Linked DNA regions of Canis lupus familiaris. The protein of the gene in region 1 purifies or fractionates together with the protein of each later gene. This does not show direct contact. Links are inferred from orthologs where the notes say so. Each region holds a gene or a part of one and is shown in the gene's direction. Other genes may lie near its edges. The genes, in order: AAK1, REPS1 and AP2B1.

What was found.
Region 2: the proteins of AAK1 (region 1) and REPS1 purify together in Homo sapiens (affinity purification with mass spectrometry; 3 studies listed by BioGRID and IntAct, counting the BioPlex papers as one, with this or other methods). This does not show direct contact. The link is inferred for Canis lupus familiaris from reciprocal best matches to the Homo sapiens genes AAK1 and REPS1.
Region 3: the proteins of AAK1 (region 1) and AP2B1 purify together in Homo sapiens (affinity purification with mass spectrometry; 4 studies listed by BioGRID and IntAct, with this or other methods). This does not show direct contact. The link is inferred for Canis lupus familiaris from reciprocal best matches to the Homo sapiens genes AAK1 and AP2B1.

The regions. Positions count from the first base shown.
Region 1 is NC_049231.1:69,533,299-69,536,947, reverse strand, and holds part of AAK1 (AP2-associated protein kinase 1), read left to right. Parts: intron 1-712; coding exon 713-834; intron 835-2,080; coding exon 2,081-2,162; intron 2,163-2,666; coding exon 2,667-2,799; intron 2,800-3,649.
Region 2 is NC_049222.1:31,452,257-31,456,685, reverse strand, and holds the start of REPS1 (ralBP1-associated Eps domain-containing protein 1), read left to right. Parts: upstream 1-1,595; 5' UTR 1,596-1,676; coding exon 1,677-1,829; intron 1,830-4,429. UniProt on the Homo sapiens protein: May coordinate the cellular actions of activated EGF receptors and Ral-GTPases.
Region 3 is NC_049230.1:38,021,499-38,025,147, reverse strand, and holds part of AP2B1 (AP-2 complex subunit beta), read left to right. Parts: intron 1-627; coding exon 628-873; intron 874-3,649. UniProt on the Homo sapiens protein: Component of the adaptor protein complex 2 (AP-2). Adaptor protein complexes function in protein transport via transport vesicles in different membrane traffic pathways.

The DNA.
Region 1 (3,649 bases):
ACCTTAGGGAAGGAGTGACATTTGTCTGAGCGGGTGCTTGAGGGAGGCTTCAAAGAAGAGGGGGCATTTGAACTGGAGTTGGAAAGATGAATGGGATATTGATGGTTGGGTATGAGGTGGGGGCCACAGAGAGCATTCTAGACTGAAAGAAGAACATGAGAAAACATACAGAGGCTTGAAAGTATCAGGAGTGTTTCTGCAGAGGTGAGAAATGTGGCTGGAAATCTAAGAAAATGAGGCTTTTTACTTCCCCATTGTGGAATTCCTCTATTTGCCCCCCTCTACTCTCATTTCACCCTGTCAGCGTGCTTTGCCTTTTGTTCCCTGGGGATGATCCTTGTCGAGATACTTGGGGGGAATAACTTTCCTATGCATATTAATGGGATTATCAGAAATAAAATAATTATACGACTATGAACCAAATTTTCATATGCATTGCTAAATAATATCTTGGGGGATCCCTGGGTGGCGCAGTGGTTTGGCGCCTGCCTTTGGCCCAGGGCGCGATCCTGGAGACCCGGGATCGAATCCCACGTCGGGCTCCCGGTGCATGGAGCCTGCTTCTCCCTCCGCCTGTGTCTCTGCCTCTCTCTCTCTCTCTCTCTGTGACTGTCATAAATAAATAAATAAATAAATTAATTAATTAATTAATTAAATTAAAAAATTTAAAAAAGTAATATCTTGGAATGAGTGGTTGGGGAATGTTTTTCAGGTTGAAAATATCCTCTTGCATGACCGAGGCCACTACGTCCTGTGTGACTTTGGAAGCGCCACCAACAAATTTCAGAATCCACAAACTGAGGGCGTCAATGCAGTAGAAGATGAGATTAAGAAGTAAGCTTTTCCTCCTTTCTTGGAGTTCTGTCCATTACCGGATCAGCAGCCGTATTTTCAGCTGAAGGATGAGTAGGTCAGGGTGGGAAGGCCATGGTGCTAGTCGTGCTGCCCCTTGTCTCAGAGCATCGCATTGGCGGTTGGATTGTTTGATTTTAGGTGCAAGATGTGGAAGGGGTCCACAAGCATTGGTCAGTAAAGTGAAGGACTCCTACAGCACTTTATCAGTGGTCCAGCGATCACTGTACGTACATATTTTGACATGTCACACAGCCCTCACAAAGCTGAATGGTGCACAAACCGTAGAGGAACTGTGATGTTTTTAAATGGAATCACAACAACTGTGACATTATCAGTCAGTTGGATGTGCTTTTCACTGAACCCTACATTGCTGTGTTCTCCTTCTTGCTCTTAAGGAGCTCACCAATCTAGTGGAATTAATGGTAAGTAGGGCTATGAAGGCTCTACAGGTACCGAATCACTGACTTTGATGAGAAGAAGCTTCCTTAGATTTCTGGCTCTAGTTAGAACCTGACCCAAGTTCCCCTCTTGTCCAGAGGGTGAGGTTTTTCACAGGTGACGACACTCACTAATTTTACTAATAAACCAGCAGTCTGGTATGCACACCTGTATCCTCATCCTCAGTCTCCTTTCCTGGGTCACCCCTGGCAGCCAAACTGGGCATCATAAGTCACATGCTTGGTAACATCAAGACCCTCACTTTGAAGCTGAGCTTATACTATCTTTACTTGAGCCAGAGGTAAGAGGAAAACTGTTGTTTCATCCACTTCCCACCCCAGCCAGGACCCACTCTCTGCTCTTCTCCAGTGTCTTAGCCAGGATTACATTATCTGTGTTGAGCCACATTTAAGGGAATCGGTGTTCTTAAAAACAAATCAGAAAATACAGTATCAATATAGCATCAGACAACAAGGATTTGCAGGGGAAGATTTTATCATTTGAGGACCCAAGAAAAGTGCTTTTAGCGTTTACTGAAGTGCCATAGTGTCTGGGTCTCCACATGCCCTCAGATAGAAGGACCGCTTCCAGAGGGCCATGGGTGTGTGCTAAGGACAGCTTTTCATTTTATCTGCACTAATATTTCATACTCTCTTCTGCAGATGGCTCCCAGGGAACTAGACTTTATTAATATCAATATATATGTTTTTAAAAAGTATTTCTGCTACCCCTGGTTTTTAATTATAGCACTGACATATTTAACAAAAACCAAATCTCTTGATTGTAGATACACAACGCTGTCCTATCGAGCACCAGAAATGGTCAACCTGTACAGTGGCAAAATCATCACTACGAAGGCAGACATTTGGGTAGGTGTCAACTAACCTATCCGCATCTCAGATACCAGCTGTCTTGACTGTAGATTCCCAAGTTTAATCCAGACAGTGCCATAGCGAGAGTGGCCACTGTACCATACCACTGTCTACTTACCCTCAGGGTTAATCTTCACTCCAGATGACCAGCCACTGCTTCGTGAGGCATGTCAAAGGAAATTACTTTAGAGTTATGTGAGAATTATTCAGGTGACCTGCCCATTATTTAGGTGGTTTTCATATATGCATTACTAGTTCTGAAGAGCAAAATAGCTGAAATACTTGTTCCTTACTGGAGCACCATCTGGTAATGATGGTAGAAATAATGTATCTCAGCAGCTAAATAGTGGTGTTGAGTTCTAAATTCAAGTTTCTAGTAGGTGAGTAGTTACGTAGTTTTTATATCTGCTAGTAAATGTGGATGATGCCATTCTCTCTCTGTAGACCCGTTTGCAGTAATGGTAAATAAACCACTCGTAGCAATCTGCTTTATTTTTTTAGGCTCTTGGATGTTTGTTGTATAAATTATGCTACTTCACTTTGCCATTTGGAGAGAGTCAGGTGGCAATTTGTGATGGAAACTTCACAATTCCTGATAACTCTCGATATTCCCAAGACATGCACTGCCTAATTAGTAAGTATTTCAAGTTTCTAGTTTCATATTTTTATCTCTTATCTCCAGGAATGAATTGGGGGAACAAAGAGACTGGATCGCAGGAGTGATGGGTTGGGTGCAAAGATAAATCAGTGGGTAATGGTTGGTCACTCAAAGATAATAAATATAACAGTGTCTAGTTAGAGTGGTAGGTCTTTTTGCTGTAAATCTAAGCTCTTTTGCACTTGAGCAGAAATCCTAACTGTGCTTTGAGCAGTACATTACTGCTCTGTTCTCTTGCAGTCAGTGTGAAAGAGTCCAGCTGACTCCTATCAAGTGATAAGAAATTCATCTTTGCAAAACTGGAAGAAACACAAATTGAAATGATTGCCATGCGTTGGCTGGAGTGAATACATAATTAAGACTGTATAACTCCATGGAACTAGGTTTTTTCTCTCTTTAGGTTAATCACTGGATTTTGATAACCAGCATTTAAACTCAGTGCTTTGTTTCAGATGTTTTTTTAAGATTCCCCCACTCTTTTGCATCATCATGGCAAGCATATGTACTAGTTCATTAACCAGATGGTGGAACAAGTAATCTTTGCAAAAGCCCTTGTACTAAAATATGAGACAGAAATATTTCATCATCTCCTCACATTGGTCAAGGGATTTAGCATCTCAATTTTCACCATTATGGGTTATAAATCCTGAGATAGTTTGGGTCCTGGGTGTGGTTGCATTGAAAAAAAATAGAAGCAGATGTGGGTGGAGCATCTGACATTTGTTGAGGGCCTACTTGTGCCTTATTTAATTCTTAAAAATCTTAGATGGTAGATATAATCCTCCCCATTATACAAATGAGGAAGCCGAGGCTGAGAAAGTATAGG
Region 2 (4,429 bases), on another chromosome or scaffold:
AAAAAAAAAAAAAAAAAAAAATCAAACCAAACCAAACAACAAAAACAATCCACAACAACTTTGTGGATTTTCCGTGCTTTTTGTTCTGGAATTATAGGGAAAGGACTGGGAACCTGTCCTGATTTCCTCCCATGGGCCATCTATAGGATCAGAAAACTCTAGGGAGCAACATAGAGAAGACAAAATTAAAAAAAAACCAAAATGGAAGAATCTGTGTCACAAACAGCCTTAGCTGTTGTTTTTGAAATATTTCATATTTGCTAAGCATAAACTCTTCAGTGTTGTACGTGGGCCATCTTAGGATCTCCTCCCAGGGCGGTGCCGACGGGCGGCTATTGCGGGGCAGGGAGCCCTGAGGTCAGCCCAGGCCCGCACGAGCGAGGTCACCAGGTCGGCCTCGCGCGTAGAACAAAACCTACGCGCCGGTTTTCCCCTCTATTCCGCAAATTCTGTTTCTCAGGTAAACATGGTTTGGAGCGAGAGCGGCAGCTGGAGCTCAACGTTCCCGTCAATCCGGGAGTTCCCAGGTAGATGGAATCTTCCAGGTAGCAGGGACAAAGGCCCAGGGGCAGGAAAGACCTTAAAGGCCTAGGACAGGTGGTGGAGGAAAAGATGCTGAAGGCAACTGTGATCCAATCCCTACCCCGTTGCGCTCCTCTTGTCTACACCTTTGGAAGACAAGCCATCTGTAGGGGCGCACAGGGATACTGCGTTTAGCCTCCGCGACACCGGACCTCTAGGGCGCACAAACAGATACAACGATTACCCCCCGAGCACTGTTCCTCTTTCAATCAACGCTCATTCGGCCTCCAGTGCCCGGAGCTTCGAGGCCATCGAAGCGCCCCGCCTCGGCGTCCCGGGGCCGCTGCTGGGGGCCCCTAGCGCGGCCGCCTGGGGCTGCGGTCGGCGCGGGCCTCCCCGCGGGGCTCCGGCCGCCAGGGGGCGCTGCGGCCCCCTCTCCCGGGAGCGGCCGAGCCCGCCCGGTGGGTGTTTCTCTCCCTCTCGCGCTCTCTCCTCCCGGCCTCACATCCGGGTCTGGAGCGCGGCGGCCGCTGTCAGTGTCGGTGCGGGCGCGTCGGGGGCCGGGCCGGGCGCAGTAAATGGCGGCGGAGGGAGGCGGAGCGGCGGCCACGCTCCGCTCACAGCCCCCGAAACTTTAGCCGCGAAGCCCCACAACTTTCCGGGAAGCGCCGGCGCTCCGGGGGCGTGGACGGAAGGGGAAGCCGAGGCGGGGAGTCTGGGGGGAAGCGGCGCGGAGCCGGGGAGCCTCGAACCCGCGGCGGGGGCGGGGGCGGTGGCGGAGTCCGCCCGAGCCTCGCGCCGCCGCGGCCCCCGCCTCCTCCTCCCCCGCGCCCTCCCCTCGGCCGCGGAGCCGGAGCCGGAGCCCGAGCCGCAGCCGGAGCCGGAGCCGGAGCCCGAGCCGGAGCCCGAGCCCGAGCCGCGCGCCGAGCCGAGCCCGGGACCGCGCGGGGCCTCGCGGGCGGCGGCGCGCCGAGCGACCTCCGGGCCCTGTTGCTCGCGCGCCCCCCGCGCGCCGGAGGCCGGGGCTCCGCGCGGCTCCGCGGGGCGAGGAGGAAGCCGGGGCGCGCGCGGCCCCCGCCGTCCCGGGGTCGTGGGGCCGGGCCCCGGGTCTTGCATGCGGGGCGGGGCGGGGCGGCCGTGAGCCGGAGGCGAAGATGGAAGGCTTAACGCTGAGCGATGCGGAGCAGAAATACTACTCGGATCTCTTCTCCTACTGCGACATCGAGAGCACCAAGAAGGTGGCGGCCAACGGGCGGGTGCTGGAGCTGTTCCGGGCCGCGCAGCTGCCCAACGACGTGGTCCTCCAGGTGACGCGGCCGCCCCGGGGCTGGGCGGGAGGGGGCCCGGGCTCCCCAGCAGCGGGCTGGGGCCGCAGGTGCCCGGGCGGCCCGCGCTCGCGCCGCGGCCGAGGGGGAGGGGTCGCTGTTGGAGGACAAAAGTCACGCCGGGATCCGGTGCGGGTGCGGGTGGGGGCGGGGGTGGGGGTGGGTGGGGGCGGGGGTCTGGGTATTCTCTCCCAAGAGCCAAGTCCGGGGTCTCGCGGCTGCCCCCCAGACTCTGCTTTTCGACGCGGGAAGAGCGACTTTGAGATGAAGGATCTTGCATTGCTACCGTGTCTTTGAATCCTGGATCCTGCAGAGTAGTAAAGTTATCGGTGTAGATAAATTTTTTTTTTTTTTTTTTTTTTTGATTCTTGAATGAGCCAGCAGATGGGACAAAGTGGGGTTTTGTAGGACTCGAAGAAGCAGTTTTCTTTTAAGGAAGCTGAATTCTTTCTTGGGGAGATCAAAAATTTGGACTTAGAGCTAGTCGTCTGCAAATAGATGTGGAAAGAACTTGCAGCTAACTATAGGACATGTGACTGATGTAAACTGGACAGTTTGCGATTGGCATTCGGTAACATTTGGTGGAACTTGTGGGTTTGGGCTGGGAGATGAGTATTGAGCCAGCTGTTAAGTCAAACGTGCATATTTGTTTGCTTCAATCAGATGTGTAGCACTAGAAAAGCAAGCAGTAAATTTTAAGCTTTCTCTATCACGTCTGTTTTTAAAATAGAAGGTTTCCTAGAAGGTCTTATCTAATGTATGTGGTGAACATTATTGTTACTGTTTAATGATTCATAGCTGCTAGTCTGTCTAAACAGCATATCTGGGGCAGGTTTTAAGCTTTCATCTTTATCATGATCCAAGCCACTTACCCACATCTCCAAAACTTAAAGCCATATGCATAGGTATAATGTAGTATACTGCAGAGGGCACTGAATCTGGGTTTTTGAGGCCTGGGTCTTTGACCCCATTCTGTTGTTAACCAGCAGTGGGACTTTGGGCCAGGTACTTTCACTCTTTAAGCGTAAATCTGCTCATCTAATGAATGAGAGGTTCCTTCTGACAAAAATTTTGGAAGTATAAAAATGCCCACGAAGGTCTCTGTTTTAGAAATTACCTGTGTGTTAACTATGACTAAGTTGAATGCGTTCTTTTTGCATAATCTTATATGTCTCATATTGCTTTTTAAAAAGTTTTGGGAGGAAAAGTTGGATGTCTTAGATACCAACAGCTAGGAGTCTAAAATTTGTGCTGCTGTAAAGGGACAAAAATAAAATATTTTAGGCTTTGCTGGCCACATACAGTCTCTCTCGAATATTCTTTGTTTTTGTTTTTGCGACCCTTTTTTTTTTTTTAAGATTTTATTTATTCATGAGAGAGGCAGAGACATAGGCAGAGAGAGAAGCAGGCTCCACGCAGGGAGCCCGATGTGGGAATCCATCCGGGGACTCTGGAATCACGCCCTGAGCCAAAGGCAGACGCTCAACCACTGAGCCACCCAGGTGTCCCTGAGACCCTTTAAAAATGTAAAAAATATTCTTAGCTCGGGGGCATACAAAACAGGGTTGGGAGGGTCTACAGTCTGCTGATTCTGGCTAAAAAATGGTGGGAGCTTTGGGATACCATACTCTCACCTCTTATGCCTTTGGAGTTAGACTTTTAGAAAGACGTCTGGTCAGAACATGCTCATTAATTCTATTGCCCTTCTTTGTAGCAATAGCAAAACACACTTTCAAGTCATTTAGGAACTAAACGAGAAACTTTATGAGTTCTGTTTTGGTTTATGTTTTTGGGGTGGAGGGAGCTAAAATAAACAGACTTTCATATTTTTAATGGTGCCAGAAAACTTTAGGACTTTTAGTGTATTATTTAAGATAGACACATTAGTGTTAGTTAACCTTTGCTTGAAATCTGTTTAATCAAGTTATTTTCACGTTTTGCTCGGTTTTATTAACATTCAAAAGTATATTTCTGTTGCTTTTCAGTATAAAGAAAGGACTTACATAGCATAAATATTCAGGATTCAGTTACAAGCTGGAAGCTGTAGGAGCTCGCTGAAGCAGAACTAAGTATTTTGGGTATATTTGAAGGCAGTTTACTTAAAAACCGGCCTAAGACATAAAATGTGAGACAAAAGGGGAATATGGATTTGATTCTCTTGAGAATTTGGGATTGTCTGAAAACACAGCCTCCTGTTGCTAAGCGGGAGACATTTGAGTCAACTCAAATACATTAAGTTAGCTACTTAACTGGGGTAGGCATCACAGGGCATCGAAAGAGGAGTAAGAATCTCTCAAGGACCTTGTAAACTACAGAAATACACATATGTGACATAAAGTACCATGTGAATGCCATAGGAGAGGTACAAAGGAGGTGTGATCAGGAAAGTCTCCTTGACTTAATTGAGATGGACTTTAAATTAGTATGGCGGTAGGGCAGTGGGATGAAGGACTTGCAGGCAGAAGAAAACATGATAAAAGGTGGAAAGTGTAGGAGCCTTTTCAAGGGGTAGCAGATAGTTAGGTTTTGCTGAAGCTGGAGTGTGCCTTGGGGACAAAGGAACATACAGTTGAAAGAGACCA
Region 3 (3,649 bases), on another chromosome or scaffold:
AATCTTATTTATTCTCCCTATACATGCTTTCCTGACTCCCACTCCTCCTAATGGATAATTTTAAAGCAGATTCCAAACATAAAGATGAAAAATCATTTCATCCTTGTAAGATCTCCTTTTAAGATTTATTCATTTGAGAGAGCAAGAAAGTGAATGCATGTGCAGGGTTGGGGATATTTGCAGACTGACTCGGGAGTGGTACACGTTTTTCCAATTCCTCATTTTTTTCCTGTTGTTAAGGCACATACAGTAACAGCCATGGTGATGGTAATACCAGTTGACTTCTGCCTCACCCTGGAATGAATACTACTGGGCATTTCTTCATTGTGTTTGTAAAATAGTTAAATGAATTCCTAACCTAAGCTCTTAAATAGGCAATTAAGATTTGTACTTAGGAAACAATAGTATGGGGGATTAGTGTCTGATACAGAGTGTAACTGGAAGCTTACATAAAGGAAATGTTCTTCTGAGGCTTGTATAAACTAGACTGTTTACTTTTTAGTCACCATGTATACCTGTAGTTGTCAATGATTTTTTTCTTTTTTTCTTCTTCCTCTTCCTCTTTTTCTTTTTTCTCTCCTCTCTCTCTCTCTTTCTCTTTCTTTCTCTCTTTCTCTTTCTTTTTAGGATTGTGAAGATCCCAATCCTCTAATTCGGGCCTTGGCAGTCAGGACCATGGGGTGCATCCGGGTGGACAAGATTACAGAATATCTCTGTGAGCCTCTACGCAAGTGCTTGAAGGATGAAGATCCCTATGTTCGGAAAACAGCAGCAGTTTGTGTGGCAAAACTCCATGATATCAATGCCCAAATGGTGGAAGATCAGGGATTTCTGGATTCTCTGCGGGATCTCATAGCAGATTCAAATCCAATGGTAATAAGCTTCTGCTTTTATAGAGAGCAGTACTTAAAATGCATCCCTTTAAAAAGAATGTTTATTTTATTTTTTTTAAGATTATTTATTTATTTATTCATGAGAGACACAGAGAGAGACAGAGGCAGAGACACAGGCAAGAGAGAGAAGCAGACTCCATGCAGGAAGCCCAATATGGGACTCCATCCTGGGTCTCCAAGATCACGCCCTGGGCCGAAGATAGCGCTAAACCTCTGAGCCACCGAGGCTTTCCTAAAAAGCATGTTTATTTTTATTTTAAAAATTTTTAAAGATTTATTTATTTATTTATTCATGATAGACAGAGAGGCAGAGACACAGGCAGAGGGGGAAGCAGGCTCCATGCCGGGAGCCCGACGCAAGACTCGATCCTGGGACTCCAGGATCATGCCCTGGGCCAAAGGCAGGCACCAAACCGCTGAGCCACCCAGGGATCCCCTAAAAAGCATATTTAAAACAAATCTTGTCTCTGGGATATTGAAACAGATTAGCTATGAGAAACATGAATTCTGTGTGTCCCTCAGATTATGTCTCACACATTAGTTGTTTTCTCAAGTGAAAACCAAGTGCTACTAAAATACAGGGGTCTTAAAGCAAACCTTTGTATCATACCTACCCCTGTGTTTGCTCAGAAACCTTGGCTCTTTAATAATTTTTTGAGTTTTACCTTAAATTTATATATATCTATATATAGATGTATATATATATATATATATTTTTTTTTATTCATTCATGAGAGACACACAGAGAGAGGCAGAAACATCGGCAGAGGAGAAACAGACTCCCTGCAGGGAGCCTGATGCAGAACTGTATCCTAGGACCCCAGGATCACATCCTGAACCGAAGGCAGATGCTCAACCGCTGACCCACACAGACGTCCCTATATCAGTTTTTTTAAAGATTATTTCTTCAGACGTTTGTGGTCTTTTCTGGTGTGGGAGTAGAAACAAAGTTTTATTTATTGCCTAATTATTGTAATGCATTCTTATACAGGAAAATTCTAAGACAAAATTCTTTTTGACAATTAATATTCTAAGTGTTTGGCAGCTAGAACATAACACTTTAAAGTTTGAGGACCTTTTATTTCTCTTACTAATATTTTTAACTTTGTCCATATAATGAAGGGGAGAAAGTCCCAAGTGGTATGTTGACTCTGCTAGTAACTGGAGCTCATTTGAATGGAGTGATTGATGACTAGGTGCCATTATTGAGAAGATGGAGGAATAAGGCCTCCCCTTTTTGCCTAATGCACTATTTACTTGGAGGTGAATAACTTTGAGTTAATCACTGGATAACCTCTGAATGCTTTCTTTGTTGTTGAACTTTTTGAAATAGAGTTGGAATTTGCCTTGAAATAGACATTGTCTCTTACTTGCAAATCATGTGCTCAGATCTCTGCTTTAATATTTCATCTGGTTCATCTTATTCTTTGAATAGCCTTGGCTTTTATTATCTTTCAAGTTTAGCATCAAGGTCAAGGGATGAAGAAAACCACGTTTTGTTTTGTTTTGTTTTAAGGTACTGTAGTACCTATCATTAGGAATCTTTTAGCCATGGGATGCCTGGGTGGCTCAGCGGTTGAGCACCTGCCTTTGGCCCAGGGTGTGATCCTGGAGTCCGGGGATGGAGTCCTGCATCGGGCTCCCTGCATGAAGCCTGCTTCTCTTTCTGCCTGTGTCTCTGCCTCTCTTTCCCTCTGTGTCTCTCATGAATAAATAAATAAAAATCTTAAAAAAAAAAAATCTTGTAGCCACCTTCCAGGCACAGAAGCTGGTGCAGGTATATATGTGCTTAAACCATGACTTCTGATAGGTATCACCACCAGCATTAGAAGATTCAACCTTTCTTTTTTTCCCTCGAGTAAGACCATGTGGCACTTTTTTTTTTTTTTTTTAATTCCATAAGGAAAGATACAAGGCATTAGTATCTATTTTATAGAATGTTTAGCTGGTCCCAAGTTGTGTTTTGGTGTTGCTTTTGAGTCACTCTTACCCTGAGCCACTGTCTTTGAAATTTTCTACTTGAGGACAAATGAGAAGATAATAAGTGTTTGGGCTCCATGCTCCAGGTTTCAGGCTTCCAAATAAACAGGATATCATGCAATCCATGGAAACTTGTTAAATACCCAGTGGGGCTAACAATGTGCAGTGGAGTGAGGTGAAAATGAATTATAACTCATATAGGTATTTCCAGTTTAGGGAGAAAAAGGCATCTTTGCAATAATGTAAATTTCTTGAAATAGAACCTGTAAAATTAGATGGTCAGGGATAGGGGCTAACTGATGGTTTAATAAAGAATTTTTGTTCGTTTGGTACCCAAGCGCTTAGATTTTTGTCCAGTTGAGAGGATGGAAGGATTCTGGAACAAGCCTAATTTGACCTATTTTAAGTTTTTATTGTGGAGGAAGGACTGGTTTTTGTCCAGCCCACCATATTCTCAAGTAATATATGTGTTTATACATATGTTTACTTTTTATTATTGGAATTTTCAAACGTATTCAAACTTAGAGTGACTAAATGAAAACAATAGATAAATAAAATGAGCCCATTTATCATCATCTGTTGTCCCCCGTTTCATACTTACACATATGTGATTTAAACAGGCAACACATCAATGGGTCTCTTTGAATGTAATAAAACACTATAATAAACTATAATACTCTTAAAATTTCTTAACCTGTTTTTACAAATCAGGAGGTGATTTGGAGAGATTTTCACAATTATCTTTGAGAAAGCTTTAGAGAAAATTTAAGATTACT